Linked DNA regions of Cricetulus griseus. The protein of the gene in region 6 interacts with the protein of the main gene of each other region in a pairwise test. Links are inferred from orthologs where the notes say so. Each region holds a gene or a part of one and is shown on either strand. Other genes may lie near its edges.

Region 1 (4,233 bases), about 120 Mb from region 6:
TTATATCATATATATATATCATATATATATCTACATGAAGACATATGAAGGAAAATGAGATATGTGACTTTCTGAATTTGATTTATTTTACTAATGATCTCCAGTTACATCTGTTCTTGTTTTTTTTTTAATGAGGGAATAACACTCGTTTTATCACCTATACTGGGATCTGATGCCTTTTCTGTTGTACAGACTCACAGGAAGACAGAGCTCTCATATACATAAATAAATCTTTTAAAAAAGGTTACTGTAAACATATAATTTTTCATTGCTAACTAAACAAAAGAATACAGAAAATTGCTAGCCATGTTAATTATTGGTATATATACTAACAACAAGTAGATTACCAGACTTTCAAGGTTTAATCATATTACATACGATTAATAGGCTTATTATCATATATTAATCCTGCACTATCATCTATAATCTAAAATAATCTATAACATAAAATGGGTAATAGGCAGTGTCTTTGAGTACTTTTATGACTTCATAGCTCACAATGTAGGAAAATCTACTGATTTCTTTAAAACTTCATTGGTCAATTTTAACCTAGTAGTTTGGTTTGAGCCCCACACCTCAACCCTCTGGTCTCAGTCCACTGATCTTTGTTTGCATTCAGAAACTTCTTGGGATTAAGCAACTGTTATGTGTCACTAATATTTCAAGTGTAGCTGTCTCTTGTTACCCTCCAGAGTGGTTCCAAGACCTCCAGGGGATTCTCGCGCATTCAATGGCCAAATCTCTTACTGTGATGCATGGTGTTATACTTTCATGAATGCTCCAGGAAGAGCATTTCATGTGATCTCAACATTGTTCATACAATTACTGTCAAGGCAGAAATACAAGGCCAAGTAAACACTCTGGAAATATGAAGTTCTCTACTGAGTATTTTTGAAGTGGTGTGTGAGTGATATGGAATTGTCTCTTCGGCTTCAAACAGCTCACATAGCTTTGCTTTCCTGCCTCTCAGTCCCAAAGCGGTAGAAACCACCCTCGCTCTCAGGTCCCAACAATTTGGTGCTCTCCTTGTGTGTTTCAAGACTCTTCTACAGAGCCCCAAGTCCAAGGAAGGCAAGGACCATGCGGAATTCATCATCTGATCTCAGTGACAGCACAGCAAAGATTTTATAGTCTCTTAAACACAGTTGGATTCCTACTAACAGCACATCTGACTTATAGTACGGATCTATGTAGTTGATTTATTAACTCAGTGCACTTACAGGAACTGGACATGCTGCATGCGTTCTAGTGGAAGTTTTGGTTGGAGATGGATTGCTTACATGCATACAGAGACAGCTGCTTCTGGAAAGTTAATTAGCCCTTCTAATGCTTGTGTCATCAGAACAGCACCGGAAGAAGAATGGCTCTGAGTTCTTCTTTTTAATGATCTTTACATATGTGGTTAGGCAGAATAACTGTGAGCCTCTCATACATCAAAATGCCACAGGTAGATCTGGCACAGATAACTGCCCTATTTTGATTGCATTATTGGCTGAATTAGGTGAGGTTTTAACTAATAGTGTTGATAAGGACAGAATAATTCCTGGGTTCCTCTTAGGTAGCAGGCTATGACATGAAATACCTTTTCCACAAATTCTTAGAAGGAGAGAGTAAATGATGTTCAAAGAGCTAAGTATCCTCTTGCCTGGGGCCATGCACATACATTGGAAGATCCAGAAATGAAACCAAACTAGCCTAATCATCATGAATTGGCATAAAGCAAACTTCAAAGGTTGCACTTCAATAAAGTCAATTGGCACCCCTACACAGTGGTGCAAACCTTTAATCCTGACACTTGAGAGGCAAAGGCAGGACGATCTCCTCAGTTTGAGGCCAGCCTGTTCTGTACAGTGAGTTCCAGGACAGTCAGGACTACACAGAGAGACCCTTTCTCAAATAACAAAACAACAACAACAACAAAAACCCCCATAAAGTAAACAAGCACACAAACAGAAAATAATGCCAATGGTCATGCCAACTGTAGAGTGTTATTTAGCTTTCTGAAACAGGGTCTTATGTTCTCTTGATTAACCTTGAACTTGCAATCCTCTTCCTTCAGACTCCTTAGTGCTAGAATTTTAAGTCTGAACCATCACAGGTGGTGTTACATTATTTTCTACTTAGTTCCTCTTTGCTTGTGACTTTAGTCGTAAGTCAATTTTATTTATGAATTTAATTATCATTATTAGCTTGTTTTCATTTACTCACAAAACATGGGTTCTGTACAAAGAGAAATAGTGATGATGGTAGGTTTTCTACTACTTGAATGATCTATGTAAAAAAAATAGTCTTTTGCAAATTAAGGTCTACTGTAATTGTAGTTTAGTGTATTTCATTATTTGAAAAGACATCCTGTAGATCATGGTGTGTTGTTGTTGCTGCTGCTGCTGCTGCTGCTGCTGCTGCTGCTGCTGCTTAGGATACTGATAAGGATGCTGATGAGGATGCTGATGAGGATGCTGGGAACAAGCCAGCCATGCCTCTTAAGAGACATTAATGTGCTCTGATTAGCACTGACTTCAAACTGTTGTGAGCAATAGGCAATCAATAAGACCTAATGGCTGGACACAGCAAATTAACACTGAGATCTATAAAATGCTCATCTAATTTGTTAGGAGCTCTGAGAGAGAAGCACATATATTCAAACGCATGTCAATTATGCAGCTAGGGGTGTCTCTGCTGCAGGCTACTCACCATCATAAGTGTAGATGTTGATGTTGCGAGGCTCCGGGTAGAAGCATGAGCAGATCAGTGACAGCATGGACAGCTCCTTCATTTTTTCCTTGTAGGCTGAAAGTGAAGAAGATTCAAGATTAGAATGCTTCCTTCACTGAATTTCCTTTTAATGCCTCTTTAAATTTGAACAATAATTATAGCCTTCTGCAGAAGGCAGGCTGCTTGGTTTGCTTTCCCAATGAATGAGAGATATAAACAACTCTGATGTATATATTCATCCCTATAGAGGATGTGAAGTGCATATTATATTAAGTTAGCTAAAAAATGAAAGCGAGTTAGATTTAAAACAAAACAAAACAAAAGGACTTGAGATCCAGCAGGAAGGAAGACGGTAAAAACAGTGAAAAAGGAAACAGAGGAAATTAGCAGAGACAGGCTAATTAACGTATGTGTGAGTCTTCTTCAGGATTCTCGGAGGTTCATCCTGCATCACCACTATTCGTTTGGGGATAGTCACAAACTCATCTAGAGAGTTGTTAAGCAGCTACACGCTCCAGGGAACTTTGTTGCTGTTTTCTCTTAATCCCCAAATGCATTTTCTTATCTCACCTTCTTCCCACACACTGAGATCTGATCAGGATCTCCCTCCCTCTGCAACACAGTATGGGTGCCAGCCTTACAGAGAAGCAGTAGATTAGCCTGTGCTGGTCTCCCTCCTTCCTCCTCTTCTCCACCCAACATCCCTTTCTCCTCTATTACTCCTGCCCTCGTAGACCTGGTGAGCATTTCATGGCTAGCACCAGGACAAGCGTCTCCGAACAGAATTAGAATGAGAGGGTGGGACACCATCACTTTTGGTAGTTATTTAATTAGTGAAATTAATTAAAGAAAATGACAGAAAAATGATGAGTATAGTGTATGGTAGCTTGTGATAGGGAAATGGATGTCCATGGTCACGCAATATAACCTCACATATAACACCTGTGAGTTGGTGGGCTCTTTTAATCATCACTGGGGACTTTTAATTATCCAATGGACAGTGAGTGTCTAGACCTTGTGGGAAGAAGGAATTCCTAAAAGATGAATTTATACATCATTGACAGGTGCATCATTTATTGACGAGCAGGAGGCAGATCCAACAGATGTTTTCCCATGTCTAACTATGGACTGTGACTACATGTCGATGAGAGTAAGTATGAATGTAGCCTAGCATAAAGCCACATTATGTGTGTTCCCCTACCTGACTTTTGCAGATGACATACCATAGTCAAGAGGCTGACAGGAATGCTAAACTAAGAAGTTTCTAAGAGATTTTAAATCTATAGTCCACTTCTCAACTACTGATCTCGTAAGTAAGGAAACTGAGTCTCACAGAGGCTAAAGTCATGTATGACTGATGACAAAGATGGGGGCCCTGGATAAAAGGCAGTAGAATGATCTATACCAAAGCTGTCAAGGAGACATCCAGGTCTGCTTTTAGAATGAAGTCCAGGGGCCACAAGGATGTGTATCTGAGAGTAAGCTCCAACCACACACAAAGATCAACACTGTCAATTT
Region 2 (3,362 bases), on a different chromosome or scaffold from region 6:
CTAGCCTAGAGAGTTGGGAAAGGTGACTGAAATTGCAGCTCTCAAGTATTAAGTGAAGGCATCTGAGTTTGAGAACGCCCTGGGCTACACAGGAAGAACCTATCTGAAAAAAATAAAATGCACAAACTATCCTAGAAGCACATGTAGTTGGATCTTTTACAGAGGATACCAATGTACTCTATATTACCAAGAGCTAGTCAGATGAATGAGACTAGCATACCACCTAGAATGTTATTTAAGGCTGGTGAAAAGCTTTTTGGAAAAGGGCACTTGAGTTCGATTCCCACATGGTGGAAGTACAGTTGTCATCTGACATCAAGCACAATGTCAGGAAAATGCCCAGACGCATACACAAAATAAGCATAATAATAATAGAGCCTGTATTTAAACGTTAGGTACTTCTTTATATTGACTGTTCATAATTTCATGAAGGTCCAACATAGAAAATGACAACAAAAATATATAATGCATCTAATCTGAGATAAAACTGAAAAAAAAAAAAAGAACAGCATAATAAAACACTTTATTTCAGTAAATCAGTCCAGAATGTCTGAAAAAGCACATCATCAGTTGGTTAGGGCAATAAGAGCCTCCACAACGTTGCCCATGTGTTCCCGCAAGCTCCTTTCTGCTGCTGCTCGAGAGATCTCCATCTCTGTCATCTGCAAGGAAAGAGTAAATCATGTCACCGATGCCTCCTCTCAGGCATAAAAGTGTCAACTAATCCCTGACTCCACTTGTTAGGAACCCAAATTAAGTAGAATTTCTCTTGTGCATCCATCCAAGCATTACTACTCACTATCAACTCCAGATCTTCCTTCTTGATCGTGACCTTCGCCAGCTCCTTTTCCCTGTGAATATATGTGTATATATGCATCTGTCTTCATCCTCAACCTCTGCCATAAACTCCCAAAAGTAACATCCCAATTTCACACTGCAAACAGGTGGAATAAGGTTGACTGAAAATATTAAATAAATGTGCCCACCCCTCCCACTGGAGGCTTTCCTTCCCCTAAAAACAGTGTCACTACAACAAAGTTGTAAACCCTAGATCTACAGGAATTGGTTAAAAACTTGTTTTTTTTCTGGAGAATGAGGACCCCTTACGCTGACAGTGTGCTTTAAACTTACCGCTCCTGTTTTGCCTTTTGCTCCCTGGACCGTCTGTCTCCAATGACGGACATAGCCTGTAGGAAACACGAGTCTAGTTACCTACCACCATGAGACCCAAATTTTCCTATCTAAAACACAAAACCAAAAATAAAAACCACGCCGGGCGTTGGTGGCGCACGCCTTTAATCCCAGCACTCGGGAGGCAGAGGCAGGTGGATCTGTAAGTTCGAGACCAACCTGGTCTCCAGAGCGAGGGCCAGGATAGGCTCCAAAGCTACACAGAGAAACCCTGTCTCGAAAAACCAAATAAAATAAAAACCACGTGATTCTTCAAGTATTCACAATGACCAGTGTTCTCGGGACCAAAAGACCACACTTAATTCCCTGCACCTGAGATCCATTTAAGCCCAATCTCCATCACATTCTTAAGCAACTCGCGGACTGGGTGAGTGTTGTCGCTGATGCCCATCCTACTGCCTACTCCCACTATCGCGATCTGCCGGAGCAAACGGGTCAGTCTCAAATCACCCCTACCCCGTTCTCAAGCCCTCTCATACAAGCTCCCGGTCAACCTCACCGTCTCCAGATTCGAACTCTGGATCTCCTTCTCCTCCGCATAGTCAGTGACCCGCTCCAGGTCAGCAGCACCACTGTCATGCTTCCGTGGCTTTTCGGGAGGCCGCTCTGGGCCGCTGGTTTCGGTCTCTAACTCTAGTTCCACATCTCCCTCGGTCGCCATTTCGATCTCACCGCGCCGCCGCATACGCTGCCGCTTCACGACTTCCGGCAAACAGCTTCCGCCCAGATAGGGGCGGGGCAGGCTGTGAACCGCATCTTTGTGCCTGTCTTGAGAAGCTTCTGCTAGGAAGGCGGTTGGTTCGCTTTTGACCTCCTCTCAGGCTTGTGTTTTCTGCAGTCTCCTTCGACTAATCTGTTCACTACCCACACCACCTAAATGCACAGCCTCACTTCTTCACCGAAGAACAATCCTTTCATATCCCTTCACTCCTTCCCCTTCCCGCCCTCCCACAACACCCCCCCCCAAGGAATTCTGACCAACCAAGGCGGCCGATGGCTAAATCCTAAACCAATTTTAAAAACTAATCCCCAGATCAGATAGGCCAACTACTCCTAATCTCAGAAGACAGTCCAAATGATCCGGAATACGAAGCCCAGTGAAGGAATCTTCACAAAAGTATTTGCATTTACCACTTCCTAATGATCTGTATTCATTTTCTAACATGCCCATTCTACTACTTTAAGACTGAGTGACTAGCCCAGCACAGCGACTGCCCAATGGGCAAAATTCTTGAGAAGCTGCTGTTCCTCATCAGCTCTTCCAGTAACGGATCTATGCCTAACCTCTGGGCCAAAAATGATAGGAGCAAAAGCGGTGACAGCCCAGACCACCAGCCAGGGCCTTGCACAGCAGCACGGTGGAATCGGCGATGTCATAGTGAAAACCCCCTTTTATCAGGTGAGAGGGCATTGGAGGGGGCAGACTTGAAGATGCCCTTGGCTGGAAAAGAGTTGGGGAGGCAAACCCGGTTCTTTGCCTCAGTAGTCAGTAAACCTCTCATCCCACATTCCCATCCATATAGCCTTAGGGAAAAATAGGTGGTTCAAGCCTATACTAAGGTCTTACAATGAAAATCTTGCTAGTGTTTAGAAAAGGCAATCCTACGTAGCTCACCACAAGATGGTAGGATTGAGGATTTTGGGATTTTACCTTCGATTAACCCCACACAGTATACATCACCCTTGCAAAGCTTCACCTTTGCATCCTATGTCTGCTCTATCCTCAGTGTCTTGCTGTGTGTGGGCCTGTTTCTTTGACCAGCTCCCAACCACTCTAGGAGGCCCTCTCTCAGAGTCTTCTAGTAGCCTACTGCTCTATATCCTTCTCCATTTGGGGACCTCAGCAATCTGCCTCCTGCTATCTAGGACAGTGGTAGAAGGGGTCTGGGGCAAAGCATAAGGGGTAAGTTGGCAGGGGCTGCAAAGTGAGGAAAAGAAACCTGTAACATTTGGATTGAGAACAGGAAAGAAGTGTCAATCTACAAGTGAGACCTATCCATGCATTGTGACTTGTCCTACCTTTTCTCATAACCAAACTTTGCAGATCCAGATGCCCTCGGTGCTGTGTGCCCACCTATTTGGCAACTCAGAATGCCCAGTGCTCAGTGGCTCAGGGGCTGTGTATTGAGTATGTGCAGGAACTGCCACTTTCCACCTGCTGCAGGTTGTGC
Region 3 (3,945 bases), on a different chromosome or scaffold from region 6:
GGCTCCTGCCCTAGTCTAGGAGTTCCTGGAAGCTGAGAGTTGCTGGAAGTCAAGAAGAGAGTTGGATTTTCTTTGGAGGTGTGGCCACCTCCCACACCCCAGTACACCCATAAGTACACAGGCAGCACTAATTAGATTCATGAGTTATTTTTAAAAAGAGGGGAGAGCATAAGTTGGATGGGAAATGTGTTGGGGGCTTCTGGGGCAGTTGGAGAGCGAAGTCAGGGTAGATGTTATCAAGATACATTATATACATATATGAAATTTCCTAAAACTACTATTGAAAGTATTTTCAACTCCAAAATCAACACCTATACTCATTTACTTATTCACCACATTCAGTTCTCAAACTCCGTGTGTGTGTGTGTGTGTGTGTGTGTGTGTGTGTGTGTGTGTGTGTGTGTGTGTGTGTACTCACGTGCCCATGTAGCAGGCTGGTGTCAAACTTGCAGTAATCCTCCTGTCTCTGCTTCCCAATTGCTAGAATTACAGGTGTGCACCAGGACACCCAGCCTCATACAAGATATTTCAACAGACTAAAAATATAAGTTCTAAACAAGGATAAACTCAAAAGCAAATTTAAAAAAAAAAAGAGCATAAAACAGAGGTTCTGAAAAGCAGCTCGTCATTGGAACAAGCCTTTGTCTGTTCTCACCAGTATGACTTACCATTGTGTTCCCACAGCTGTCTTGTTCAAAGCCTGAATTATTCATATAGATTGTAAATATTCTTTATTTGTACACGGGGATGAAAAAAAAACCTGCCAGGGCAGGTGCAAGATCTGAAAGAACACCCCTTCCTCATTCTTTTTGATACTTGTGTTCATTAAAAAGAAATCACCACTCCCTCCTCCCCCCGCCCAGCGCGCGCGCGCACACACACACACACACACACACACACACACACACACACACTAGAAAAGCCTTAATAAAGTGTCTCTAGTGGTCATTTCTGGAATAGGATGAAACATATTGCTGTACAAAAGAGGGGGAGGTAGCAAAGTGGACTGTGTCATTCCTGAGGTGACAAGGCAGCAGAGGAGGAGTGTCTCTCCTGAACTCTATAAAAGGTCAGCTCTCCAGCACCAGAGACAGACAGGCTGTGCTCCAACTCCAGGCTACAGGTGCTGCCTCCCAGGATCCCAGATGGATTTCAGTCGTCGAAGTTTTCACAGAAGTCTGAGTTCCTCCTCACAAGGCCCAGCACTTAGCATGAGTAGCTCCATGTACAGGAAGGGGAGCGCCCAGCGCCTGGTGGCTGCACCCAGTGTCTATGGTGGGGCTGGAGGCCACGGCACTCGCATCTCTGTCTCCAAATCTGTAGTGAGCTATGCGAGTGATCTCTCCAGTGGAGGGGACCTGTTTGCTGGCAATGAGAAACTAACAATGCAGAACCTCAATGACCGCTTGGCAAGCTACCTAGAAAAAGTGCGGTCCCTGGAGCAATCCAACTCCAGACTTGAAGTCCAGATCAAGCAGTGGTATGAAACCAATGCGCCTAGCACCATCCGGGACTACAGTCCCTACTATGCACAAATCAAAGAGCTGCAAAATCAGGTAAGTCATGGACCTGTGTTTTCGACATTACTGTTTAGTAGTATACTAGATTAAGGGGGGGGGGGTTGTGAGTGTATGCTAGGCGAATTCAAACACGTGAAGCAAATTAGGTTGAACTTTATAGCTGAAAAATCTATTTTATCATGTGGCATTAGTGTAAACAGGATGCGTTTAACCCACCTAATTACATATAAAATGTGATGATCTTATCATCCAAAATTACAGCCTGTGTCTTTGTCGTGGCTTCCAATGTCAGGTCTTCATGGAGAATAATCTTATTTTTAAAAGAACTCCAAGGGTTTCTATGTGAGTTTCCCACTAGTCTTCACCAACTTTGAAGACTCAGATCAATTTAAAGAGATTTTTCTCTTTTCATCCATATAAATGTTACAATTCAAGTGTCATCCTGCTATGGGTATAAATATTACAAGGGTTCAGAGTGCAGACAGACTACAGATATTATAGTGTCTGTATTGACTGACAGATGGGTAGATGATGGGTGGTAGGGTGGATGGAAGGAACAGCTTTTGAATACAAGATCTCCCTGTATATCCCAGGCTAGTCTGCACCTCACCGCTCTCCTGCCTCTACCTCCTCAGCACTGGGATTAGCCACCATGCTCAGTTTCGCTAAGTGGATTTTTTAATGTCCTGTTTAAGTTTCTGCTGACCATCATCAAGCATTTTATAAAGCACTTCAGCAATAATAAAATGTTCTATTGCCCCCAATTCAAATTTATTACAATCATATCACAATCTGTTCCTGTGTCATCCAAGATAGGTGGGGTTCTCTCTCTCTCTCTCTCTCTCTCTCTTTATAAACCCAGTGGACTAGAAGTGGGAGACTTTGCTCCGGGCTGACAAGGTCAAGCACAGCACACCATTTGCTTTGCTTCAGCATTCTTATCTAATCAAGGAAAGTGTCCCTTTCTGGTTTGCGTATATTTAAAATGATTACCCCTTTAGAGCAAAGGCCATTGACTTGGCCCGAAGGCCTCTTTGCTGGAGCTGTATTATAGGTACCAGTGCAGCCTGATTCAGATTCACAGAAACAATCAGCTCAGGAAGCTAAGGTGGTTACATCACCCTCAACAGGGAGTTCCTTCAGGCTTTCGCTGAAACACATTCAAAATGATTGTTCTCCAGCACTGCTCTCAAGGTTGATGCTTCTGAATTGACTCGGGGATTACCCATGATACCTCAGAGCAGCCATTAGTACCTTCTAGCTGGAAGCCTCTCAAGGGACCTCTCTCCAGGAATAGCTACTGAAAGAGATGTGTCATTTTCATGTCTTCTAGAAGTAGACTTCCCGTCTACATGCATCTTAAAGAATACAGTGCTTGTCTTTCAAGTACAAGAACCTGAGTTCGATCCCCAGAACCCAGGTTAAAAAAAAAATTGGAGAATGATGGTGTGTTCTTGTAATCCCAAGATCCCTGGGGTTTGCTGGTCAGCCAGCCTGACCTACTTGATGAGTTCCAGGACAATGAGAGACCCTGCCCCTCCCCCAAAAAATGTGGACAGTACCTAAGGAATAGCATGGAAGATTGTCCTCTGACCTACACATGTATATACCTGTACATATGAACACAGAGAGAGAGAGAGAGAGAGAGAGAGAGAGAGAGAGAGAGAGAAAACCAGGGTGTGTCCATCCTTCCATCCTAATGCCTAATGCCTACCAGATGGCAAGTTGTCATTCACTCACTGTTTCATAGACACTAGCTGGGTACTGAGCATCACACATAGAAGAATGTGTGGGTAAATAAAGTGTAAGGTGGAGACAGGCCTGGACCAAAGCAACTGTCACTCAGGTAAACGCAGGAAGGCTGTACAGAGCCACAGAAGCAGGGACACGGCCCTGCTAGAACTGGGGGATATCATTGAAGGCCCCCTTGAAGCCACGGTGTCTGAGCTGAGAGCTGAAGGCATAGGAGCTCCCCAGGTGAGGAGGGCTAACGGCAATATTCCAGGCATGAACATCACCACAGACAAGACACTCAATAAGGTTCAGGGATATGGATGAAGTCCAACTTCTGTTTTGTACAAAAACAAGAAAGTGGGTCAGACCAAGAGTCCTGTTTTTAACTATTACCTCAATACCTGTGTCACTATTGCACCTAATTACTCTCACACTTTTGAAACGGACATCGCTTTTGATGTAATTACAGTTGTCTCTGAGGACAAATGAGATCTTTTTTATCTCCAGCCCTGATGAAAATGTCATTCTTTCTCTCTCTTATGCTTTCCAGATTAAGGATGCTCAAATTCAAAATGCTCGGTGCGTCCTGCAAATTGACAATGCTAAACTGGCTGCAGAGGACTTCAGATTGAAGTAGGTTCCCTACATCACAGTGACTATAGGTGTGTGTGTGTGCAAGTGTGCGTGCGTG
Region 4 (3,933 bases), on a different chromosome or scaffold from region 6:
GTCACTATTTACATGTGATATATACATGTTAGGTGTTGGTAACTTTAATATCGATCAGAGTCTCAGTTCTCAACCTCATGAAACCAGAAATGTAATTTTCAATAAGTTTTAGTTCCTTTATTTGAAAGTAATGAAATAATGATAGTATTACATATGCCATTAGGGCTCAGTTGGCAATTCTATTAATTTAATTTTTCTCAGAATGGGAAAATTACTATAGAAACAGGATAATTTATTATGGATGCATTTTATTTACTATATGTAGCAATCATACAAGTAATCTGAATTCATCGTCAACTTGCTTGTGCCATTTTCACTTTTTCAAAAATATGCCTATGGGTTTTCATAAAAAGATAATTTGAAAACTAATCTGATAATTATGTCCACATAAAACACAAAGCTAAGGACATTATTCATAGAGCAGGCTCTTGCTTAGCATAAAATGTATTTTATATCTTCCAGAGGCAGGCTAGAACCACAGAAATGATGGAGACATGGGAAGGAAAGGAACCTTCATCTCAGAGTGCTACCAGTGCCTCTCGTCAGCTGAAATCATGAATTCTAACGAAGTTACAACATTATTTATGAAGGGTGCCAATAGAAAGGTAACATTTCTTTTATATAGAGATATCTCCAAATTAGAATGTTGAAGTAGCAATGGATCACGCCCAAGACCTAAACACAAGAGGCCTTTCTTCTTTCTCAGCTATAAACCAGCAATTTTCTAGGAATCTCACCAGAAACCCTATCTACAGTAAATACCTCTTACAGTTAATACCCTCTTCTACCATTCTTATGACACGTGGTTTTATTTTTGGACAGTAATCCAGTCTAGGACACCTCTAGAACCATCCAATAATATAACTTATTGAGAAAAAAAGAGAGAAAAGGTTTTAAAATCCTTTCTAAGAAATCTTTCAAGGCGTAACTTGAGAACCACCAAAAGAGTGACTCTCCAGAGCTCCTGCTAAGACACTTGAGGGTATAATGTCTTTGAAAAGCCTACACCTGTGTTCTTGAGCATGTCTTATTTTCCCTGAGTGATCATCTCTGTCAACCCCTATGCTTCATAAATCTATGTTTAAAATCTCTCTTTTTTAAATCAACTCCAACTCTTTCATACTAGCTAATTCCAACATTAATTTTTGCAGTAAAGCCAAGGAAGGGCTTCGCCTCAGTGGAAGTCCCCAAGGGTAAGAGGACTTCTTGGGCTGCTGGAAGCAGGTCTGGGCTGCTGCACCGAGGCTACCATAATCTTCACTAAAGGAATAATACAGACACTGCTGAAGACTTTAGATCAGTCTACCAATCTCTCTGTTACTTCAGGTCCCAAGATTTGGGGTCCTCATTTTGGCTGAGGGCTTCTGTCTTTAAAGGCACCATTTTATTTTATTTTTTGAGACAGAGTTCCCTTTATGTAGTGCAGGGTGACCTCAGATTTGAGATCCTCAGCTTCAGCTTTCCAAATTCTGGAGGATTAAAAGTGAACACCGATACATAGGACTGGCATTCTATCAAACTTATCTATCTATACTTAAGGAATTTAGGGAATTGTTTGTAGAGAGTGGGAGAGGCTAGGCAAGCAAGGGTGAAATAATGGCTGCACCCCACACTTTCCTTATTTTTACTGCCTACTTAATAATAAAGAAGGAAAGAAGCCTTATAGAGTTATTTAGTACATTCTATCTTTACCTCAAAAATGAAGGACCAGGTCCCTGTGACACAGATAAACCAATAGGGCCAGGAAAAAAGACTTTCCCCTCACAAGTCTTATGGGAAAAAAAAACTTTTAGTTTTTTACCACTAACCCCGAGGATCATTTGTAGTGAAAGAGATCTATAAAACAGCTGACCTGAACAAGGGAGAGCTCTTGGTCCCCAGACTGATAGCTGGGAAACCAGCATGGGACTGATCCAGACCCCCTGAATGAGGGTGTCAGTGAGGAGACCTTGGAAATCTATGGGGCCCCTTGTAATGGATCAGTATTTAGCCCTAGCATAGGAATGGACTTTGGGAGCCCATTCCACATGGAGGGATACTCCCTGAGCCTAGACACAAGGGGGTGGGCGTAGGCCCTATCCCAAAGGCTACCACAGACTCTGAAGACGCCCCCCATGGAAGGCCTCACCCTCCTTGGGGAGCAGAAAGGGTTTAGGATAGGTAGGGTGTTAGTTGGGGGGACAGGAGAGGATGGGAGAGAGAGGGAACTGAAATTGACATGTAAACTAATCTTTCTAATTAAAATTAAAAAAATTAAAAAAGAAAAAAATCTAAACGAGACCAAATGCCTCAAAATTTCCCAGCAATTTAGAAACAATGCTATTCCTAAAACACCACTTTACTCGTTTTGTAGACTGTGCACTACTTTGTCAACTGTAGTTTCAATGGATCCTTGTAAAAACCCTCCCACACAAGGCAAGGGAGATACTGTTGCCGTCATTCTACAAGAAAATAGTAAAACCTAAAGGCACCGAATGAGTGGCTTAAGGTTGCTTACAGTTAGGACAGAGCCAGGAGCCCAGCTCTCTTTTCTATCCAGTACTTTCTAGGCAAGAGGAAGTTCCCTTACAGGGCAGAGGAGGAGGGGGCCCAGCCTACAGGGGGCAGCTCTGCGTCTACTTCCCGTCTGTGAACACGCCGTTCTTACCCTTTCTCTTGGTTCTGGTCCTTATTCAGACTCTTATTTTTCTGCGCGGGTTTTAGTCCCTGGGAATCTCACTCCAAACTCCACACTCTCCAAACGAGTCGCGTCCTTGGTATCCAAGGTAGCCGCGCCGCTTGTGCAGCCTGGCCCTTCCGCTCTTTCCATTGGTCCGTGGGTCTCTTGGGCCAATGAGATTGGAGCAACGGCTAGGCTTTTCCACCAATCAGCTCGTGTCACTCTATCTCTCCGGCGCACTGTCTCCTGGGATATGTAGTTCCAAGGCCCCTGGAGCACTTGGATATCCGCTACCTTTAGAACTACATATCCCGGCGGCCTCCGACCAAGGGCGGCAATAGAGGAAGAGCAGGGTCAGGGTTTTAACCAGTGGTACTTTGAAGTTGTCACTTGTCACCGGGTTTGCTTTACAGCCTTCGGGCCTCTATCTCGGTGGCGAGGAGGCCTTGTTGGTCCCGCGCTGCGGAGCGGGCATGTGGGGCCGCCTCTTGCCGGGCGCCCTCCGCGGGCGGGCGAGCGTCCTCTTCCGGGGCTCGCACGGGGCGCGGCAGGGCTCGGCGCCCGGAGACCCGGCGCTGATGCAGTGGACGCTGCGGGTGAGCCCGTTCTGGCGGCTGAGGACGCGGCTCCCCTGCCACCTGCTCGTCAGGGCCCTGGATCCCCTGGCGCACCCGGACGGCGAGCGCGTGCGGGTGGCGGTGCGCGGTGCAGAGCGCGGGGCGCGCGGCCTGCAGGTGGAGTACGACGCCGCTCGGCGGGAGGTGGCCGTCCTGTCGGACGACATCGACCCCCGGGCCTTGGTGGAGGTGGACGCGCCCCTCAGGTTTGGCAAGTGCAGTGAAAACTGGTTAGGATTCCTGCTTTCCAACTTCATGGAACAAATAATAAGTTAACTATATAGATTTGGAGACCTACGGAGTAGAGGCATGGAGACAGTAACCAGAAGCAGGCTTCTGGTTAGAAGTAACGATGAGATTGGGATTGACAGCAGGGGTGGCATCAATTTTCACAGGTGCTGTTTTAAGTTTTGTTTAGCTCTCCATTGACACCCACCTGTGATGGTTTGAAAGAAAATGGCCCCCAAAGGGAGTGGCACTAATGGGAGGAGTGGCCTTGTTGGAAGAAGTGTGTCACTGTGGAGGGTGGGCTTTGAGGTCTCCTATGCTCAAGCGACTCCCAGTAAGACAGACTACTTGTTGCCTGCATAAGATGTAGAACTCTCAGCTCCCTCCCCAGCACCATCTGTTTGCAGCTGAAATGTCCCTCCATGATGA
Region 5 (4,017 bases), on a different chromosome or scaffold from region 6:
ACACTTACTGTCTTTACACACCAGGGTGGGGATCCAAAAGTCAGACCAGCCTGATGGAGTCCTGGTGCCTTCTCACGGGCAGAGTGAGCCCAGGGTCCATAGAAGTCCACAAAGCACACACAGAGCATCTCTGCCTCCCTCTTCCCCCACTGTTCCTGTTGCCACTTCCTTCTAGGCACAATGCCTTGGGGGGGGTTCTCACTGTCTACAGTAAGCCTCCCCAAAATCTACAGAGAAGTAACTCCCTTTGAGGCAGTCCTTTGTTCAAATGTATGTCTATAAAGAACAAATATTGCACAAACCGATGTTAGTGTGGAGACCAGACATCCAGTTTTATTAATTGAAATGAGGTCACATGTGTGGTTTTGAAGCGTGGTCTCACCCTATCACCCTGGCTGGCCTGGGACTTGCTATATAGACCAGACTGGCCTCACACTTACAGAGATCTATCTACCTGCCTCTGCCTCTGCCTCCCAGGTGCTAAAATTAATGCACCACCACTTGCAGGAGTCAGCTCTCTTCCATCATGGGGGTCCTGCCACACCTCAGGCCATCAGTTTGGGTAACAAGCACCTTTTTACCTTTTCAGCCATCTCACCAGCTCCTAACAATGAGTTTTATCCACTAATTCAAGACGAAAAACCCAAATCAACCCCCCCCCCAAAAAAAAATCACCACCTAAACACACAAACAAAACCCTGCACAATCAAACTCTATAAGATACTCCCAGTGAAGATCTAATGGGGCCAAGTTGCACAGGCCTGCAATGGACTACTCAGTAAGTTCAGGCAAGAGGATCACAAGTTCAAGGCTACAAAGGCAACTCAAAGTCAACCTAAGTAACTAAGACCAAGTTTCAAAGTTAAAGTTAAAAAAAAAAAAGTTAAAGTTAAGAGCATTGTACAAATGGCTGGGCTATAGCCCTGCAGTACAGCTCTAATCTAAGTTACACAGGGTCCCAGGTTTCCTCCTCAGCACTACTCAGGTTGGAGGATGGAGTGGAGGAGTGGAGGGGTGGAGTGGGGGGCAGGGTGGGGCAGGAAAAACAAATGCAATTTGACACTCCAAACAAAATGACTCAAAAATATGACATGCAAATACAAACCAACTTCACAACTCTCTACAGAACAACTCACTGTCTCCCTTCCCACCTCCAGTTTCTTTCTCCCACAGGACTCCCCACCAGCCTTGTTATCCTTTTGTTGGCCACCCAAGTCACATTGCACCACCTTCCCAATAATAGGGCTTCGACCGCATTCACTGTAACCCATTGGTGCAGACCTGTGCTTGGTGAAAATAGTTTTGTGAAATGTTCTGCCTATGAGATAAATCAGAACTGGTAACTCGGATCACAGTGCCAGTTGTGTAAGCATGCTAGCATTCAGGACTGTTAGCCAACATTCTAAAGTCTAACCACTGTTATAGATAGCTTTCCCTTGTCTCTGTCAGTCCTGAGAAGTAAATTCTGTACTGTAGTTTGTCACAAGACTCCTGTTCAGACAACATCTACCACAGCTCTGAAATGCTCTCTGGTTCATGGTTTTGGGGGTGTAAAACATAACTTGCAGTGGTGGCGAACACCTTTAATCCCATAACTTGGGAGGCTGAGGCAGGCAGATCTCTGTGAGTTTGAGATCAGCCTGGTCTACAAAGCAGAGTTCTAGGACAGCCAGGACTGTCACACTGAGAAACCCTGTCTCGAAAAAAAAAGAAAGAAAGAAAGAAAGAAAGAAAGAAAGAAAGAAAGAAAGAAAGAGAGAAAAGAAATTTGTACAACTTCAAAATAAAAACATCCACCTACGCCAGGCATTAGTGGCACACGTCTTTAGTCCCAGCACTCAGGAAGCAGAGGCAGGTGGATCTACAGAGTTCAAGGCCAGCCTGGTCTACAGAGCAAGTTCCAGGACAGCCTCCAAAATAATACAGAGAAACCCAGTCTCAAAAAAAAAAAAAAAAAAAAAAAAAAAAAAAAAAAAAATCCACCTACACTGTCTTCACACATCGACTTTAACCTTAAAAAAAGACTAGATATATGTAAATTTAATATTGTAAAACAACAGCAAGAATTTAAGAGCCCAGAATTGCAGAATCATGGTTGCACCATCTAGTAGCGGCACCCCAATGTGAGGTTGACAAGCCGCTGGCTTTCCCAAGTGAAGACAGTCCCTAGTCCCCAACTACTCTCTAGTTTATCAAACGATGTCTCCACAGTTTTAATTCTGCTTTTATAGCCTTCATTGATTTTACAAGAGGAGGGCATGTCAATAATTTCTGCCTGAAAGTACTTCTAGAAGAGATTTCTTTTGAAAACACCAACATTCATTAAGACCCATCCGGAGGCTTCCAGAAGCGAAACAAAGTTAAATCTTATTACTAACATGGATACTACTAGATGCCTTAAAGATATTCCAGTTTTATGGTTTAGGAAAGCCCTGTTTCACCCCAAATGATAGTCATACCCCAGGCTAGGTATGAGAGGGCCTTATCCCTTGTCCTCAGGGTGTTCCCACCCTCCTCTCCAGGTCTACCAGGCCCAACCCAAAGACTTTCATCTGCAGCGTCCCTAGCTGTTTCTGCCACAAGGGACCCTCTGTTCCCTGGTCTCCAGCTACCAGGACTCCTAGGCCCAGACAGGGCACACCCCTGCTGCCCCATCTGCTGGCCCCAAGGCGGTTGGTACCTTGAGGACTATGGGCAGCCAGCTTCGTTTATTCTCATCCAAGTACACGTGCCTCTCCCAGATCCACAGGCGTTGGGGGTCTTGGGGTGTCTCTGGTCTGTACACCGGCTGTTCAGCCATGGCATCCGGCTGGAGCAAGAAGCAAAGATTTGCAAAGGCAATATCTGATAAAAACTACTCTCTGGTGGTGGGCAACGAGAACCTAGACTATTTATTACCACCAGGTGTGCGCCTGCGCCCCCTGGAGCGAGGCGAGGTGGGGCGGGGCAGGGCGGAGCCAGCGGAGTGGGTGGGGCGAACCACAAGTTTGGTAGGCAAGGCAACCAGGGGGCTTCTGGGTCTCTGGCTTGCAGGCCTGATCTTCAGGGCCCCAGTTAGTCCTGGACTCCTCCGGGTACACCGGGCAGCAGCAAAGGTACACCCAGGTCCTGTCTTAGGAGACACTGCCCTCCGCTTTCTCTATGGTGGAATCCCAAGGTCCAAGGCAGTTACTGTGTATGTGGCTGCACAGGCCACACCCCATAGCAGGCCACCCAGGGCAAGGTCAGTCTTCACTTCTGGCATCAGAGACCTGAGAGAGCATGGCTCACTTCTGGACCCTCCGGGCCTCTCTCTGTCACCTTCAGCCTGTCCTTTGGGGTGTCAGAGGCAATTTCCTTTGCAAAGTTCAGTTCGTGTGCCTTCGCTCTTTCCCACGTGACTTTTTCCATGGCTCTGATGAGGCTGTGGTCTTCTAATAGGTCTTGCAAAACAGACTTTTGAAAACAGGGGTTTCTGTCTTTGTGCTCCGACTTAGTGGACACATCATTCCAGACCCATGCTTAAAAAGAAACCCTTCCTGCACACCAAGAGTAATGGATTTGGAAAGTCTCTGGGTTGCTCAATCAAAACTGTCTCATTGTAAATAAATGAGGAAAAACGACTTCCCTTTAGTTTACGGTAACATGTGCCCATTAAGGCAATTAAGAAATTAATGAAAAACATGTAAAAACAAGTTCCAGGCCCGTTGCTCAAACAACCCTTTAGCTAGCAGCTCTGAGCCTCACCTTCTAGCCCTTTCCTCTCGGAGGATGCACAGAGGAAACCATTGGTGGTCTTTGGAAGGTCAATGAGTGATCAAGTGTGGACATCGGATCAAATCCCCCAGGTATGCCAAGAAGGCCTGCGGTCAGCCAGGTATATTCCGATTAAACAGGAAAAGAAACCAAGAAAAGGCTCAAGTCCCCCAGACCAGTGCAACTCTTAATGGTGTTAGCATTTAGTATTCAGACTGCTGGCTTTCAGGCTGATTTCCCTGTGGATGGCTCTTTATCCCCAGATCCAAATAGCTGCATAGA
Region 6 (4,004 bases):
TAAATGAGATCTGGTGCCCTCTTCTGATATGCAGGCAAATATGCAGACAGAATACTGTATATGTAATAAGTAAATAAATTTAAAAATAAAGAAAAAAGAAAAGAAAGCAAGGAACTCAGCCGGGCATTGGTGGCGCACGCCTTTAATCCCAGCACTCGGGAGGCAGAAGCAGGTGGATCTCTGTGAGTTCGAGGCCAGCTTGGTCTCCCGAGCGAGTGCCAGGATAGGCTCCAAAGCTACACAGAGAAACCCTGGGGGGGGTGGAGGGGGGGAAGGCAGGGAACTAAACAGGTAGAAGTTAATTTTTTGGATAAAGTAGACCCTCTCTTCATTCTCAAGAGGTTCATGGTTTACCTGGTTAATGTTGACATTTGAGATCTTTACCTTGGTGTAGCCCAATTTTGTTGCTTTCTAAATAGGGAAACTAAGACCCAGGAGTGGAGCATGAACATGTCCACAGGAAAAGAGCAGGTTGCCTTCACTTGCTTCCAAGGACAAGAGGCCTTGCCCAGGTGAGCAATCTGAACAGCTCAATGCTGTTACTCCACAGTCATGGCTTTGACTAAACTGGGGGATGTTCTGTTTTGAGAAGCAGATTCCTTTGAGTTCTGACAGAGCAGGCTAGCTCATGAAATGACAGGTCTTAACTCCCTCCCCTCACCAGTAGCTGCCCTCTCACCCAGACCCTTGGCTTTCTTCTTTTCTTGTGGCCTTCGGTGGTCTCGGTCTCCAACCTCATCACTTGCTCGGACCTCTTCTGAGCCTGGCTCCCCCTTGGAGGTTTCCTTCTCGCCATTGATGACTGGAATCCCTGGTTCAGGCTCCCCATTCCTTGCTGCATAGGTTCGGGACTTCTCTGCATCTTCCGGCTCAGTAGGCTCACCCTGTGCTCCCTCCTCGCCTGGGCCTCCCTGATTGTTGTCTACACAGTATGTACTCAGAATGTCTTCCAGCTGCCGGCTCAGCTCCTCAGACACATCACACAGGGGCCCAGACTTGGCTGCTTTAGCTTGAGCCCCTACAGCAACAAGATTAGGACACAGAATGAAAATAAGATGGTTACATCCCTGGCTTGAACTTTCTTTTTCTTTAACCCTAGACAAATACACTAGTTTGGGATAAATGTTGTTTTATTTGGTTGAGACACGATCTCTCTACAGAGCCCTGACTGTCCCGGAACTATGTAGACCAGGCTGCCCTCAAAGTCAGAGAGCTACCTGCCTCTGCCTCCCAAGAGCTAGGACTAAAAGAGAGGGCCACTACGCCGAGCCTCAGTTTAATTTTTTCAAACCTTAAGTTTACTTTGTTATAAAATGATACAATTATTATCACCCAAACATACTTCTTATGACCATAAAAGACAATTATGGCTGGGAAGTAATAGTGCTAGCCTTTGATCCCAGCACTTGGGAAGCAGAGGCAGGTGGATCTCTGTGAGTTCAAGTCCAGCCTGGTCTACAGAGTTCCAGGGCAGCCAGGGCTACACAGAGAAACCCTGTCTCAAAAACACAAAACCAAACAACCAAACAAAAAAGACAACTATGTAGATAAAGCACCACACCAGGGTTGGGTGGCATGTAGTAGAGACTCCACCTCTAATTCCTTTTTTTCCTACTCAAAACGCATTTTTGGTTATTTTTATAGTTCCAGAAATGTCTCAAGTATGAAGGACAATTACCCCCCCCCCACACACTGGCAAGTGTTTTCTGGGAACATGACTTTGTTTGTGGGGTGCCTCAGTTGTCATTTAATTTAAACCAGTCAGAGCATGCTCCCAAGGTTCCATTCCAGGGCTAAGGGAGGGAAGCTTCATCACCTGCCTGGGAAACACGAGACCCACACAGAATGGGTATTGTTTCATTCCATAGTTCCTCCTTCCTGGGTAAACACTGGCCTCAGCACCGAGGCCAGTCCCAGAAACTCCTCCCTCTGCCCACTGGAAAAGCAGAGCAGGCACACACCCTCGGTCTTCCCAGGAGCCTGGTTTGTGGAACCTTCAGCCTCCGCCGCAGGAGCTGTCTGTCTGGGCCGTCCCTGGGCTCCCTCTGGTGCCGCTTCCCGTTGCCCGGGGCTGCTCTTCGGGTTGGAGTGTTTGGCAGGCCCATTCTTTTTGTCTTGGTTCTTCATTGTGATCTGCAAAGGCAGAAAACGGGTAGATCCTTTGAAGACGACACAGTTGCTATTTTCAAGACTTCAAAAAATTTCACAACCTAGATCAGAAATCCCAACGCCAGGCGCTCCAAGCTTCAAACAAACTGGCCGGCCTTGGCGGAGACTCGAGGGTCCCTGCAGGGAGGGTGTCGGAGGAGCTGGCCCTGAGGAGAGTGAAGAAGAGGCCTCCTTTCTCCCGAAAGCCACTTCCCAGCAGCACCACTCCGCTCCCTCTCGGAACGCGAGCGCGGGATTGGCTCCCCGCCGCACGATGACGTGGCGGGACGCTCCAGCCCCCACCGGCCCCCGGCCCGGCCCCACGTGGGACCCCCGGGCGCGCGCGCCCGCCCGCCCGCCAGCCCGCGCGGAAGCCACCCACACCCCGCGCGCCCTCTAGCCCCACGGACGCATGCGCAAGGCGGCGACATCGCCACAGACCCCCGCACGGAATTAGTTATTCCTCTGCAGCCAACGCAAGCTGGGCCACAGACCCTCAGAAGAGCTCGTCCCACCTACCGCCAACAGACGTACCTCACCACGGACGTCCGATGGCGTCCCCCGCTCTGGCCGGGCACCGGAAACCCGGGTAACCGCTGCCAGCAGGACCGCCCGCTCCTGCCGCAGCCAATGAAGAGCTAACGCTGGCGCGGAGCTTGCTGGGAAAGACGAGGCCAAGGTGGCTTTGGAGTCGTGAGCGGGAACGAACTACGAGTCCCTTCATGCATTGCGGCGGGGCACAATTCCCGAGATGCCTCCCTTTTTAGGGTCTCTACCCGCTGCAGGTCTGAAATTCTGCAGTACAGTCTAGAGATTCCCGTCAGTATCCTTTCGAGTGCAGAAGCTGTGATTGGCGCTTGGCTGTTTGTTTCATACGCTTCTCCATTGATCCCTGTGGACGTGTATGACTGTTTCTAGGACCTCTGAGGACTCGAAGAGGGATAGAAGGCTGAGCTGGGAATTAGGAGACCTTTGTTCCACTCCTAAACCAGTAATTTGTCATGTGCCTGGCATTCTATCCCCCCCCCCATTCCAACAGAGGGGTTTTGTTTTTGTTTTGTTTTTGGAGACAGGGTTTCTCTGTGTAGCTTTGGAGCCTATCCTGGCACATCCTGGAGACCAGGCTGGCTTCGAACTCTCCTGCCTCTGCCTCCCAAGTGCTGGGATTAAAGACGTGCGCCACCAAAGCCCGGCGTCACTGTCTTCTCTTATTCTTTTTTTTTTTTTAAGATTTTATTTATTTATTATGTATACAACATTCTGCTTCCATGTATATCTACACATGAGAAGAGGGCACCAGATCTCATAGCAGATGGTTGTGAGCCACCATGTGGGTGCTGGGAATTGAACTCAGCACCTTTGGAAGAGCTCTTAACCTCTGAGCTATCTCTCTAGCCCCTGTCTTCTCTTCTTGTATCTAATAGCTTGGCCCTCATAATTACTCGGAGAAAGTACAGGATACTTTGTGATCTAGGAAATATAGGACAGTATGGAAAAGGCGAGATGGCTTTTTTAATTGCTTGCTGTCTGTTGGAGACAATGTTTCCTTATGTGTAGCCTTGGCTGACCTGGAGCTCCCTATGAGGATCAAACTGGTCTTGAACTAAAGACAAAGGCGACCATGCCCAGCTAAAGGTTATATAATCTAAGGCTGCATCAATATTGAGTGGTAATAGCAGATTCAAAGCCAGAAGCCTGACACCAGCACCCATCTTAACCACTTTCTTCCCAGAAGAAATAATCGCCGTCACAGGCTTTCTCTGAGGCAGTGTACTGGACACCTCTGTCATCACCAGCTTGGCAGTAGCTCTCTCAGGAAGGGATTGTAGCAGAGGGAGTTTGGCTTCCGGCAACTT
Region 7 (3,052 bases), about 18 Mb from region 6:
AGTTATTTAGCAAGCACATGCTAGCTATTCCAGTTTGAAATCTACCAAACTGCAAATGTGAAGGGAAATAAAATATTGAAGATGGAGCTGTTCAAGGTGAAGAACAAAAAGAGGGTTAGGCACTCTCTCAGCTCTGTATGGAGAACTTCTGTCTCAAGCTAGGCAGGAGATAAGAGTATTATCAAAGGCTGACCAGTCCATTTCAAGACCAAAATAGGAGGGTGGGGACAGCAGGAAGAAAGCTAATAAAAGGAGTATTTCTGGGTCTGATTAAGAAGTGAGTCTAAGGCAGCCACACCAAAGGTACCTGACTTACGGCTCTGGCAGCAACCCGGGGGCAAAATATTTTAAGATATTTTCAATCCAGAGAAGTGTGTAAAAAATGTTAAAGTTAATTGAGCAAATTAAAACCAAAATTCCAACAGTAGGAATCTCTTCAGATCTGAAATCAAAGAAACTTACTTTTCATCAATTTTGTGCAGTATTAGGAAAAAAAAAGGTAACAAATGTAAAGATTTGTTTTATTTCTACTGGGGAAAAGGGAAGAGTAGATAAAACTGTTACCAATTGGCTGTCCACTGTGTACACACATACCCACATACATACATACATATACATACACACCAAAAGTTTCCCCCCAAAAAACAAAAAACCACCCTCAAACTGTACCAATACTTCATATTTTGACCAAAAGAATAGATCCTGGGAAGAAGTGCAAAATGCAAAATCAAATGACCAAGAAATGCTGAACAAACAGCATTATTAATATACAAAATATTTATATTACTGAACTAGTAACAGGTGATGTTCTCTGTGTCTGTAAAACTTTGGAACAACAGAGCTGATTGTTAAATCTAGTCCATGCCAGCTTCCAAACCCCAGAGGATTTTAGTTAGCTTCATTTTTCGATGCTTCATCAAAATTTTCTACAAGATCTGACAAAGAAAGGGGAAAAAAATAAATAAAAATGCAAATGAATCAAAATAGTTGCAACCAGCATTAGCCAAAAAACAGAAAAGGCAGAAATGAACTTATGACATTTCAGTAATAATGACTTTTATAAAACAGTAATCTTATGGAAATGGCCTTTAAAAATGTATGTAAAAACACAAAAGTGAATAACATTTTTATGTCAGTTTAATGTTAACAATTTTTTTAATTATTTTATTATTTTATGTGTATACATGTTTTGCCTGAATGTATGTCTGTGTACCATGTGCATACAGTACCCGAGGAGACCAAAAGAGGGTGATGGATCCCCTAGAACTTGGGTAAAAGAAGGCTGTGAGCCACCATGTGAGTGCTGGAAACTGAACCCAGGTCCCCAGGAAGAGAGGCCAGTACTTTTAATTGCTGAGCCATTTCTCTAGCCTTCCAACAAAAAATTTCAACAATAAAAATGTATACTGATAATAGGAGTGGTTTCAATTTAATACATGCAGGAAACAGAGCTTTGTGGAATATTTTCTGATTCTAAGTTCTGAATGACGAAATTTTTGTATTTTTATTCATCATATCCTATCACTGGGATCTCAGTCTGTACTCCATGGTCTTTATGAACTCTGCCTAAAGAATTTAGACAAAACACAAAGAAATAGCATATAAGACAGGTAAATTAATTTATAAAGAAGTAGAGCACACTCAAGGAGTACGTGTGGACAATGCTTAAGGGACCATTGACCCAGACTACATTTTAGGTAGGCTGTATACTATTTCTAAAGTCTCCAGAACAAACAGCTTTTTAAAATTAAATTTTATTTTGTGGATTTTCAAGACATGGTTTCTTTATGTAACAGCTCTGGCTGTCCTAGAACTGACTATGTAGACCAGGCTGGTCTTGAACTTATAGAGGTCCACCTACTTCTGCCTCCCAAGTACTGGGATTAAAGGCATTTGTCACCACCAACAGGCTACAAACAGCTTTTCTTTAGGGACTGTATTCTGTTCAGGTAAGTGACAGGCCTGTTTGGTTTGACACTGATGTAAGGCAATAGTGTATCTTTGTTCTTTATCAGATAGCCTTCTACTATACAATAATCTTTTATGAAGGTTTAGCATTCCTGGAACCAGGCTTAGATAGTATTATATAATGGCAGTTCAGGATGTCATGTCTCCTTCCATGGCCAGAGATAGAACTTAGGGAACATTTTTCTGACCTTAAGTTCCAGTCTTTGGTTTTACAGGCTGATAATTATGAGAGAGGGGTCCATCTCCAGTGTCTTCCAAGCCAACTAATATCTAAGTAAAACCCATCACTATCCATATCACTGCAAATCAAATGAAATTCAGTCAAAAAAATCTGAAATTCATCTATGCAAAAAGGGAAAGGAGATAAATTATTTTCCTTAGTTTAAAAAATGACACTGTATTATTTCATATGTGTGTACATGCACGTGCATGTGTAGGTCAGAGGACAACTTGTGCAAGTCTTACTGGCCTGAGACAAATCTTAACACTAACAAAATGTCATTTACCTGGAACATCATCATCTTCTTCATCAATGTCCTCTGGTTTTGGTGCTTTACTATCCAATACTATAAAGAGTTTATGTGAATATTATTAGTCACTGAGAACAAAGAACACTTCTAATACTTATCTCTGTCTAAATCTCCTATGGCTATTAAATACAGTCAGTTTAAAATTCACTTTTAATTTTTTGTGTAAGTAACATAAAAAACTAATATTTTAAATTAAATATATATTAACTATAACTAATTCCACTGTGCAGTAAAAGTAAAAGTTACATGCAAAATGAAGAATTTTACAAGCTTGGGCAAAGAATTATTCTTCACATAAAGTATTCGAGATTTCTTTTTTTTCCACTTCATTTGACCTAAGAAACTAGCTATGTAGTATGACCAAATGATCACTAAAATAAGAGGCTTTTTGATGGTTAGAGACAACAAGACATGCCTGAAATCCAGAATGTATGATTACCATGTTTATAATGGTAATCATAGTGGTAATCGACAATATTGTATGTAAATATTCTATAATACACACTTCATTAACTGAAAAAGCAAACTATAAGTTTTATGAAGCACACAGGTGG

Evidence for each region.
Region 1: the proteins of Txlna (region 6) and Stmn2 interact in binary tests that used the Homo sapiens proteins (3 or more experiments, as listed by UniProt). The two-hybrid records come from large-scale screens. The link is inferred for Cricetulus griseus from reciprocal best matches to the Homo sapiens genes TXLNA and STMN2.
Region 2: the proteins of Txlna (region 6) and Hypk interact in binary tests that used the Homo sapiens proteins (3 or more experiments, as listed by UniProt). The two-hybrid records come from large-scale screens. The link is inferred for Cricetulus griseus from reciprocal best matches to the Homo sapiens genes TXLNA and HYPK.
Region 3: the proteins of Txlna (region 6) and Krt20 interact in binary tests that used the Homo sapiens proteins (3 or more experiments, as listed by UniProt). The two-hybrid records come from large-scale screens. The link is inferred for Cricetulus griseus from reciprocal best matches to the Homo sapiens genes TXLNA and KRT20.
Region 4: the proteins of Txlna (region 6) and Ccdc146 interact in binary tests that used the Homo sapiens proteins (3 or more experiments, as listed by UniProt). The link is inferred for Cricetulus griseus from reciprocal best matches to the Homo sapiens genes TXLNA and CCDC146.
Region 5: the proteins of Txlna (region 6) and Tcl1a interact in binary tests that used the Homo sapiens proteins (3 or more experiments, as listed by UniProt). The two-hybrid records come from large-scale screens. The link is inferred for Cricetulus griseus from reciprocal best matches to the Homo sapiens genes TXLNA and TCL1A.
Region 7: the proteins of Txlna (region 6) and Btf3l4 interact in binary tests that used the Homo sapiens proteins (3 or more experiments, as listed by UniProt). The two-hybrid records come from large-scale screens. The link is inferred for Cricetulus griseus from reciprocal best matches to the Homo sapiens genes TXLNA and BTF3L4.

Annotation. Positions count from the first base shown.
Region 1 is NC_048595.1:139,266,434-139,270,666, forward strand, and holds the start of Stmn2 (stathmin-2), read right to left. Parts: upstream 2,801-4,233; 5' UTR 2,777-2,800; coding exon 2,695-2,776; intron 1-2,694. UniProt on the Homo sapiens protein: Regulator of microtubule stability. When phosphorylated by MAPK8, stabilizes microtubules and consequently controls neurite length in cortical neurons.
Region 2 is NC_048599.1:56,958,989-56,962,350, forward strand, and holds Hypk (huntingtin-interacting protein K), read right to left. Parts: upstream 1,899-3,362; 5' UTR 1,877-1,898; coding exon 1,691-1,876; intron 1,188-1,690; coding exon 1,132-1,187; intron 852-1,131; coding exon 800-851; coding exon of another isoform or gene 792-799; intron 663-791; coding exon 567-662; 3' UTR 501-566; downstream 1-500. UniProt on the Homo sapiens protein: Component of several N-terminal acetyltransferase complexes. Inhibits the N-terminal acetylation activity of the N-terminal acetyltransferase NAA10-NAA15 complex (also called the NatA complex).
Region 3 is NC_048600.1:113,147,879-113,151,823, forward strand, and holds the start of Krt20 (keratin, type I cytoskeletal 20), read left to right. Parts: upstream 1-1,145; coding exon 1,146-1,556; intron 1,557-3,804; coding exon 3,805-3,887; intron 3,888-3,945. UniProt on the Homo sapiens protein: Plays a significant role in maintaining keratin filament organization in intestinal epithelia. When phosphorylated, plays a role in the secretion of mucin in the small intestine.
Region 4 is NW_023276806.1:173,067,771-173,071,703, reverse strand, and holds the start of Ccdc146 (coiled-coil domain-containing protein 146), read right to left. Parts: upstream 2,801-3,933; 5' UTR 2,648-2,800; intron 1-2,647. Other genes in the region: protein FAM185A, read left to right, coding at 3,133-3,487. UniProt on the Homo sapiens protein: Essential for sperm flagellum biogenesis and male fertility.
Region 5 is NC_048598.1:189,486,419-189,490,435, reverse strand, and holds the start of Tcl1a (T-cell leukemia/lymphoma protein 1A), read right to left. Parts: upstream 2,801-4,017; coding exon 2,681-2,800; intron 1-2,680. UniProt on the Homo sapiens protein: Enhances the phosphorylation and activation of AKT1, AKT2 and AKT3. Promotes nuclear translocation of AKT1. Enhances cell proliferation, stabilizes mitochondrial membrane potential and promotes cell survival.
Region 6 is NC_048595.1:23,393,078-23,397,081, reverse strand, and holds the start of Txlna (alpha-taxilin), read right to left. Parts: upstream 2,801-4,004; 5' UTR 2,683-2,800; exon of another isoform or gene 2,668-2,682; intron 2,134-2,667; 5' UTR 2,128-2,133; coding exon 1,962-2,127; intron 1,019-1,961; coding exon 680-1,018; intron 1-679. UniProt on the Homo sapiens protein: May be involved in intracellular vesicle traffic and potentially in calcium-dependent exocytosis in neuroendocrine cells.
Region 7 is NC_048595.1:40,982,015-40,985,066, reverse strand, and holds the end of Btf3l4 (transcription factor BTF3 homolog 4), read right to left. Parts: intron 2,535-3,052; coding exon 2,475-2,534; intron 936-2,474; coding exon 889-935; 3' UTR 501-888; downstream 1-500.